Linked DNA regions of Nothobranchius furzeri. The protein of the gene in region 1 binds, or shares a complex with, the protein of each later gene. Links are inferred from orthologs where the notes say so. Each region holds a gene or a part of one and is shown in the gene's direction. Other genes may lie near its edges. The genes, in order: rab3gap2 and rab3gap1.

Region 1 (3,809 bases):
GTTTCTGCTCCTAAACGCTGGAGTTTCGGCACAAACCCGCGGCAACGCCAGCACGTTCAGCCGTTTGGTGTGTTTCTAGGGCAGCTCCCAGCCTCTCCTGTCCCACGTGGCTCTGGCTGTGGCCAGTAAACTCACCTCTGCCCTCTTCAGTGCTGCCAGGTACGAAACCTGTTCTGTAGCAGGTAACCGTTACCTTTCACTCGTCGCACTCACTGTTTTTGTCTTAGTGGCTGGTTGGGTTGGAGCAAAAACAGAAATAAGAACGAAGAGGAAGCTGCTCAGAAACAGAAACCCAAAGTGGAGCCCGCAACCCCCTTAGGGATCAGGTACGTCTCAGGCTGACTCCGCTCCTCCACAGGTGAGTCCCGGCGACGTCGCTAACAGGAAGTTCTCCTTCTTGCAGATTTGGTCTTCCGGACTCCCGGCGCCACGGAGAGTCCATATGTCTGTCTCCTTGCAACACGCTCGCTGGAGTGACGGATGACTTTGGTCGAGTGACGCTGTTGGACCTGGCCAGGGGCATCGCCATCCGCATGTGGAAAGGTACGAAGGAACGAGTTCGACCCCTAAAATCAAATGGAGAACTCTGAGTTGCACGTGCGTGCTGGACGTGAGGAGGAAACGGCGTCCTTCGTATCAGACAACGCCACCTCTGTGTACTAACTAGAGGAGGACGCCGCGGTCTTCTCCGTGTGTCTAGCCCCGCCCACGCGCTCAAAGCTCTCCATGTTCCCGAGAAGGCTGTGTGAACAAAACCCGGCCACTTGCGGTGGGACCAACGCTACAAGGACCGGCCGGGAATGGGCCAGATGCGAAAGCGCCATTACTTCCTGACATTTGGACATCTCTCCTCTGATTGGCTAACAGCAACACGACTCTACCACTGACTCTGCTCTGCAGCTCAAGCCTGGAGGAGTTCTGCTGGGTGGTGGTGATGCTAATGCTACCCCCACTCCTCTAGCTAACTTCTAGCCCTTGAAACAGAAGCGCCAGAGCTTTTTTTTCCTCAGACAATGACTCACGAGGCGTTCGCTAACTCTGGAGACGGCGGTACATGTATCACAGGAATGAGACCTTTAAGGATTTTCTTTAATTACAGGTTACAGAGACGCCCAGCTGGGCTGGCTGCAGGTTCAGGAGGAGCGTGGTGATCGGGAGTTCTCCCCGTCTGCCTCCCTTCCCAGACGTCACGCTTTGTTCCTCATCATCTACGCTCCTCGCAGAGGAATCCTGGAAGTGTGGGCCATGCAGCGGGGCCCTCGGGTCGGCGCTTTCACCGTGGGCAAGCAGTGCAGGTATGCAGCGTGAGCATGAAGGAGCCAGTGCTTCATGTCTGTTTGACCAGAGTCAGAGATCAGATTCTTTTGGTGGTTTCTGCAGGTTGCTGTTTGCCGGCTACCGTCTGATGGGGGTGAACAGTGTGACCAGTCAGGGCTGGCAGCTCCACACGCAGCAGGTGTGTCTGCTGGATCCCACCACAGGAGCTCTGAGGAGCATCAACATTCCCTTCCACCTGGCTCTCAGGTTGGTACGGGCCAGAGTTGGAAATAATTCAAGACTCTGACTTTGGGACAAGATTTTGATATATTTCCAGTGATTTTGCTTTAAAGCAACGCTAAATACGTCCGCCCACTTCTCCCGCCTACTGGTTGAAAGCTGAGTTACAGCTGCAGCAGCAGCCCTGCTGTAGCTAGCGAGCTAACGCTAACACGAGTCAACTGATTCCAAAATAAGCCACGAAGTAAAAGGTACACATTATCACTTACACGTCCAGCAGCAACAAAGCCAGGTCACCATCGGTCCATGATTTTGTAGCCTCCTTTAGCTAACTCAATGTTCTTTCTGGTTTTAGCTCGTTACTTCGTTTCCAAAGACGTTACCCTCCTACTTTTACTCCCAGGCTTCGCTGTGATACCAACAAAAAACTCAGACTTCTTCTATTTCTTCTTCTTGTGCTTTTTATCGCTGGTTGGCAAACGAACAAAGCTGCCTGATGCTCTTTATACTAGCTACCTGCACCGTAAACAGCTATTACCGTAAAGCAGGCGGCGATCTCCTAGTAGTGTTCCTACCCACGCCACAAAACTGTTAGCCCGGTTTCACACTGGAAGCAGCGGAGCGGCTTCCTCGCTGTGCTCACGAGATCGCACGATCCCTCGACACTTCAGGCCGCGGTTTGTTTATTCAATCCGCCGTTAAACCAAAAAGGAGGAAATGTTGTTTTATGTCGCTGTTTGATGCCAGATATGATGATCCTCTCCACTGCCGGGATCAAAGCCGTGGAAAAAACACTGCTGCACTTCTGGAACGATGTTGTGAGCGAATGATCCTGGATATCGCCGCATCGCTGCTGGTTTGGAACGGTCCATAGACTATAATGGACTCTATGTGAAACGGTGACGTTCCGCTGAGGCGTTCAGTGTGAAACCGGGGTTGGGTCCACTTCCTGATCAGAAGAAGCGGTCCCGCGGGTAGGCGGTGAAGTTTCTGCCTCGGGAATGGCTGAAACCAGTTTGAAAGCTCTCTGCTGCGTTTGAGGACAAAACAGAAGTAGAGCTGAAATGTTGATGAAAATCCGCTTTTCTCCGTTTCAGTGACAAAAAAAACGAGCGGGCCAAGGACATGCACCTCTTAAAGAGGCTGACGGCTCTAGTGAAGAGCGGCGACGAGGATCCCGGTAACAGATCCGTGAAAGCTTAAAGGAATCACGGTGCAAGATTCCACTTTTCATTTTGTCTTCTCTGTTACAGAAACTTTGGAGAGTGAAGCAAAAAGCGTCCTGTTGGAAATTAAACACCCGGTTATTAAGAAACAGGTATAACAGAACATTAAAACTGGGTTAAGGCGTACGTCGCGTCTCTAACTCCAGTCTGCGTCTCCCCCAGGCTTTGGAGTCTCTGCTGTCAAACGAGGGCACGCCTGTCTCTTGTCTCACCAACATCACGAGGGCCTTACACGACACCTTAAAGCAGCAGGGTAAAGCCAACGTTCTGCTATCAGGGAAAACCGGACAGACTGTCAAGTCCCCTTCTTTGTGTTTTTGTCCCACAGCTGCTGATGAAGTGGAGGCGTCGCTGCTGCAGCTCTGCTCCTCACAGCTGAAACTTCTTCAGCTCTTCACAGACATCCAGCAGCTGCAGCTGGCTGAAAACACCGAGGCCTGCTCTGGAAATGTGCGTGTGGATGAAACGGTGACGAAACATAAACCCAAGTTCCAGCTCTCCGGGTAACGTTCCCTTCTCCCACAGCGGGACTCCCTTGAAGGCATGGGGGAGGAGTTGTCGCGCGCTGAACCAGCCTTGCGGCGCTACGCTAACTTTAACGCCAAACCCAGCGTTTCCTTTGCTCAGGACTCTCCCGACACACCTTTACCTGCCCACACTTTCCTGTCCCTGCTGGAGTGTACAGAGGGAGGCGAGGTTAAGGTGGTCCGCAGGTCCGATGCAGAATGGAACCAGCTAGGTAAGCTAACATTTGCATATTTATATCCTTATTTAATGTGAACACGGACTTTGCTGTCTTATGATGTCGTTTGTTTTGCAGGAACTTTCGTGTTCTGGGGTTGTTTATGTGGTCAGAGCTCCATCCATAAAGTGTGTGACACACTGGAGCAGGCGGGCCTCAGTCCACAGCAGCTACTGGTCAGGACTTAATCCCAGTTGAAACAAAAATGCTTCCCTGTGTTTAGGAACTGATTCCTGTTTGATGCTTTGACTTTAGTCTTTGCTGCTGAGCGTGTGGCTGCAGAGGGAGAAGGAGGTGCTGCAGAAACCTGCAGAAACCGTTGGAAACCTGCACTCACTGCTTGT
Region 2 (3,866 bases), on another chromosome or scaffold:
ATCTTTTAGAACTGCAGTTCAAAGGTAACTCATAAGGTGAATATATATGAAGCCAGGTAGCAGTTTCTCTTTAGGATTGAGAGGAGATGCAGGAAGATCATAAACAGAGACAGGACAGAAGCAAGATGCAGAAACTACCGTTGTTAAAAGAGGCGTGGGCGCAGTTTTAATTGTCAAAAACTCCAGCGAGCCAACCCCCCAGCTTCAGGTGTGTGACGTCATCAACGACTAGTCAAAGTTGACTTAAAAAAAAATTAAGTCTTGCAGCCCCTAGCACTGACGTAGTTTCCGTTTGCAACCAAACACCTAGGTATTTAAATGTTTCTACTGGTTTCAGCAGAGATGCATCTAAAATACAAAAATTTAAATCATTTCTGGAGTTACTCGTAGTTTTTCTACAGAACAGCATGGAGTACGATTTTGGTTTATTTAAAATAAGCTTGTTTGTCGATAACCACACTATTAAAATCGTGTTGTAGAACAGTTTCTAGATCTGTAGTTTTTGATTTAGCACAATAAATAATAGCATCTTCAGCATAGAGATGAATGTCCCAGTTTAAGCAGCTCAATAGAAGGTCGTTGATAAAAATAGGAAATAATAAAGGTCCTAGTGACGAACCTTGAGGAATCCCTTTGTCTATGCCTTCATTATCAGCTACTGGCTACCCTTAGAAGACAAAAATTAAACCACAAAAGTGAAGATCTAGAAAGTGATCCGCTAGATGACATGCTTTGGTAAGATCTAGGAAAATGGCACCGGTGAGTTTCAGAAGGGCTGTGGTAGTAGAGAAGTGTTTCCTGAAGCCCGGGCCTCACGTTGAACATGCCTACAATGCACATGAGTTTTATAAACTGTAAACTGGACTGCTTTGTTGCAGGATTTTATTAACCAGCTGGTGGTGATGGAGACCGTCATCACCAGAGCAAGGTCGCTCAAGGACAAGTTTGCTGTTGATAAAGGGGAACCTGGAGAAGCCACAGAAGAGCTGAAGAAGTACGTTTCATACAGTTTTACTTAAAGAGCAAGTCACGCCTAAGTCAACTGTTTTTGCTGGTGAACTGTATAAATGAGTGTCTAACAGTGTAGTAGACACGTCTAGTCACTATGTTTGCATTTTATTTTAAAGCTCAAAATTCAGCCTAAAAAATTCAGTCTGGCGCCATCTTCAGCTCTCAAGCATGCAACAGCAGCTGGAATGTGTCGTTTCCGATGGCTGAAACAGCACAGTCAGCATAGCCGGTACTCTGACCCGTAGCAGCGCTGCGGCTGCAGGTTAGACAAGCACCGGGGTCTCGGCCACGTCTGGTAGCCGCTGAGACTCGGGTTAGCCACAAGTGAGTGTTTATGCTGTAGCTTAGCTATTGTTTAGCATTAGCATTGATTCAGAGTCCCAACAAAGCTTCTAGTATTAAAATGATTTAGTGTTAGAATCTTGGCTGTTAGTTTAGTGGCTTAGCATCCAGGTGTCTTCAGAGAACCGTCTAAGGCACACCTGTACATTATTACTGCGGTCTAGTCAGCCCCCTGACAGGCCACACCTGTGACATATTTACTTAGTTTGTTCAATCTATATTTTCGTAGTTCTGTGTGGTTTTAAGTCTGACTATGTCCTGTCCAATACCAAACTCGTGATCTCTCCAGCTAGGACCAGAAATCACTCGAGACCAGCTCTCCATCTCACGGGTCCGAAACCCTTAAGCCTGCTGAGTATTACCCGGGTCAGGAACTGAGACGCGCCTAGACTCCACCCACATACATAAATGTCTTCCCTGAGCAGCCCATCAGCAGTGAAGGAACCCATACAGACACGCCTTTGTGACTCTGGCTCTCCTGTTACATTGTTTTGACACAAAATCCCGAATGTTTTACCGCCATGGAAATGACCACTCACAAAGGGAATGCCCACAACTACGTGCTGGTGAAGGTTCTCAGTCATCCAGGTCATGGTGATCCGAAGGGTTCAGATGAAGACAACTGGACTTCTCTGGTTTCTTAAAGACGTTTTGCTTCTCATCCGAGGAGCTTTGTCAGTTCTGACTGGAATATGGGAGAGTCCGGCTGTCTGTCGTTCAAGGAGCAGAAACTCCTCCAAGTACCCCGTGTTAAGTCGTGTTGGTTAGATGCAGGAAGGTGTGAGCTGGACTGAAACTGCTTAGGAATGAGATTCAGAGCTGCTTTATATGTTTAAGCGTGTGTGGGTTTGAATCCTCACTTGCATGAGGACGGTGTTTGTTTTGTTTCAGGTTTGTGAGCTCCCTGCTGGAGGAACCAGAGGTGGTGGTGACGGGAGCTGGTCAGGGTCTTACTGGCAGGATTATCCACAGGCTGTTTTTAAATGCTCAGCGGGTAAAGCTGCTACACACACACAAACACACACCACCTTCTTTTTATTTGAGTTGTGTTCTGTCAGATCTGCGATTCACCTCTTTTGCTGATCTCTGGGACCATTACCTCCTGTTCTTCAGGCAGCCCTCTTGGTACCAGGCGATGATGATCTGGAGCCTGAAAGAAAGAAAGCTGGTGAAAGCGGGAAAACATCAGATTTCCCTTCTCCGGCAGGCCGGGAGATCATTCTGCGAACGTATGTTCCTCGACCAGCTCCATACTCCAAAGCTCTGCCTCAGAGGCTCTTCTGTGTGCTGATGAAGGAGGAGTTCAGACTGGCCGGGGCCTTCTCCTCAGACACGTCTTTCTTTTAACACTTTTATTGGTAAATGGTGATTTACACATCAGACTGAAGGCTGATGCAAAACAGCTTAAAATTTAGAAAAACATTCTTTTTTATTGGGGGTCATTTCCCTTCTGTACCTTTCAACAAAACCTTCCATCAGAAGAGATGTGCGTGACTGTATCCTAAACACAGAAAGGCCCAGCAGGTGTGAACAGCCTGTGGAGCCCAGGTTCACCTCAGACTGCTGTCAGAAATAAGTTTGCTGGCTCAGCATACCTCTAGAGGAGGAGGTATTTGATTTTAAGTGTGATTCTCCGTTTCATGGTTAAGACATCAAGTGATGTTATGTGAAACCATTTCACCAAAATGTAAGTCCAGTAATGCTACAGGTCTGAAAAATAAATAAATAAATCTAATGAAATTTCTCTGCTGTTATTTTGCCCATCCCTGTTAGCCAGGTCATGCTAACGTGTGCCTGCTAAGATGACACAGCATGCTTGAAATTCACAAAACAAGCTAATTATGCCTCTGAGTCCATTCTGTCAAGCAGCCACCAGGAGAGGATGTGTGGCTTTTAAAAACACCAGTGAGCCAGTGGAGCTGGTTTCTGGGTCGGATCCAGCTCACAGAAGCCCGCATGAGCTCCAGAACTGGATGACAGGCGTCTCGCTCCCTCTCTAAAGTGCTGAACTACGTTATGTGAATGGATATTAACGTAACACAGGTGCACAAAGGTACGGGTTTAAATTAGCAAATGGGGTGGGGGGTGGGGGGCGTGGGGGGTGGGGGTGGGGGGGAGAGACCAGACTGATAGTAACATTTTTGAGCAAAACTGCAGGAAAAGTGTCAGTGTTTAACCTCATCATCCCCCATGGGTGCAATGCCCAAGGGAGGACCATCTTGAAGGTGGACCTCAAACTGGAAGCCCGTGGAGCTGCTGAAGAACTGGGGTGATGTGAAAAAAGGAAGGGGTTCCAGTGGAAACCTGCTGAATTCTGGACCAGTTGCAGTTTATGAATGAGTTTATTGGGGAGACCCAAAAGAAGTGAACTACAGTAGTCAAGATGGGAAGTGACAAGGCTGTGGCCAAGAATGGCTGCAGCATGAGGAGTCAGGGAGGAGCGAAGACGATTCATGGATCAAAGATGGAACTAGGCTGACAGAGTTATGTTATTGATGTGGGCATGGAAAGAC

Evidence for each region.
Region 2: the proteins of rab3gap2 (region 1) and rab3gap1 are in contact, whole or in part, in a cryo-EM structure (PDB 8VYB), measured with the Homo sapiens proteins. The link is inferred for Nothobranchius furzeri from reciprocal best matches to the Homo sapiens genes RAB3GAP2 and RAB3GAP1. Residues at the interface, in NP_036546.2 of Homo sapiens: Arg197, His198, Pro199, Gly200, Ser276, Pro277, Phe278, Asp279, Met281, Lys282, Ser285, Asn286, Ile287, Gly289, Phe290, Asn291, Ala292, Ile294, Arg377, Phe378, Gly379, Leu380, Pro381, Asp382, Arg385, Cys395, Thr397, Leu398, Arg407, Arg415; in NP_036365.1 of Homo sapiens: Thr19, Ser21, Trp23, Glu24, Glu142, Ser143, Asn146, Leu147, Leu149, Ser150, Ser153, Ile154, Ile169, His170, Trp173, Arg174, Met176, Arg187, Asp189, Glu191, Met192, Val193, His194, Leu195, Arg196, Pro199, Tyr202, Ile211, Ser214, Lys215.

Annotation. Positions count from the first base shown.
Region 1 is NC_091758.1:43,886,456-43,890,264, forward strand, and holds part of rab3gap2 (rab3 GTPase-activating protein non-catalytic subunit), read left to right. Parts: intron 1-79; coding exon 80-159; intron 160-227; coding exon 228-326; intron 327-403; coding exon 404-543; intron 544-1,099; coding exon 1,100-1,295; intron 1,296-1,380; coding exon 1,381-1,524; intron 1,525-2,594; coding exon 2,595-2,677; intron 2,678-2,750; coding exon 2,751-2,815; intron 2,816-2,885; coding exon 2,886-2,976; intron 2,977-3,051; coding exon 3,052-3,173; intron 3,174-3,248; coding exon 3,249-3,462; intron 3,463-3,543; coding exon 3,544-3,641; intron 3,642-3,720; coding exon 3,721-3,809. UniProt on the Homo sapiens protein: Regulatory subunit of the Rab3 GTPase-activating (Rab3GAP) complex composed of RAB3GAP1 and RAB3GAP2, which has GTPase-activating protein (GAP) activity towards various Rab3 subfamily members (RAB3A, RAB3B, RAB3C and RAB3D), RAB5A and RAB43, and guanine nucleotide exchange factor (GEF) activity towards RAB18.
Region 2 is NC_091756.1:3,939,136-3,943,001, forward strand, and holds the end of rab3gap1 (rab3 GTPase-activating protein catalytic subunit), read left to right. Parts: intron 1-878; coding exon 879-994; intron 995-2,244; coding exon 2,245-2,347; intron 2,348-2,466; coding exon 2,467-2,700; 3' UTR 2,701-3,093; downstream 3,094-3,866. UniProt on the Homo sapiens protein: Catalytic subunit of the Rab3 GTPase-activating (Rab3GAP) complex composed of RAB3GAP1 and RAB3GAP2, which has GTPase-activating protein (GAP) activity towards various Rab3 subfamily members (RAB3A, RAB3B, RAB3C and RAB3D), RAB5A and RAB43, and guanine nucleotide exchange factor (GEF) activity towards RAB18.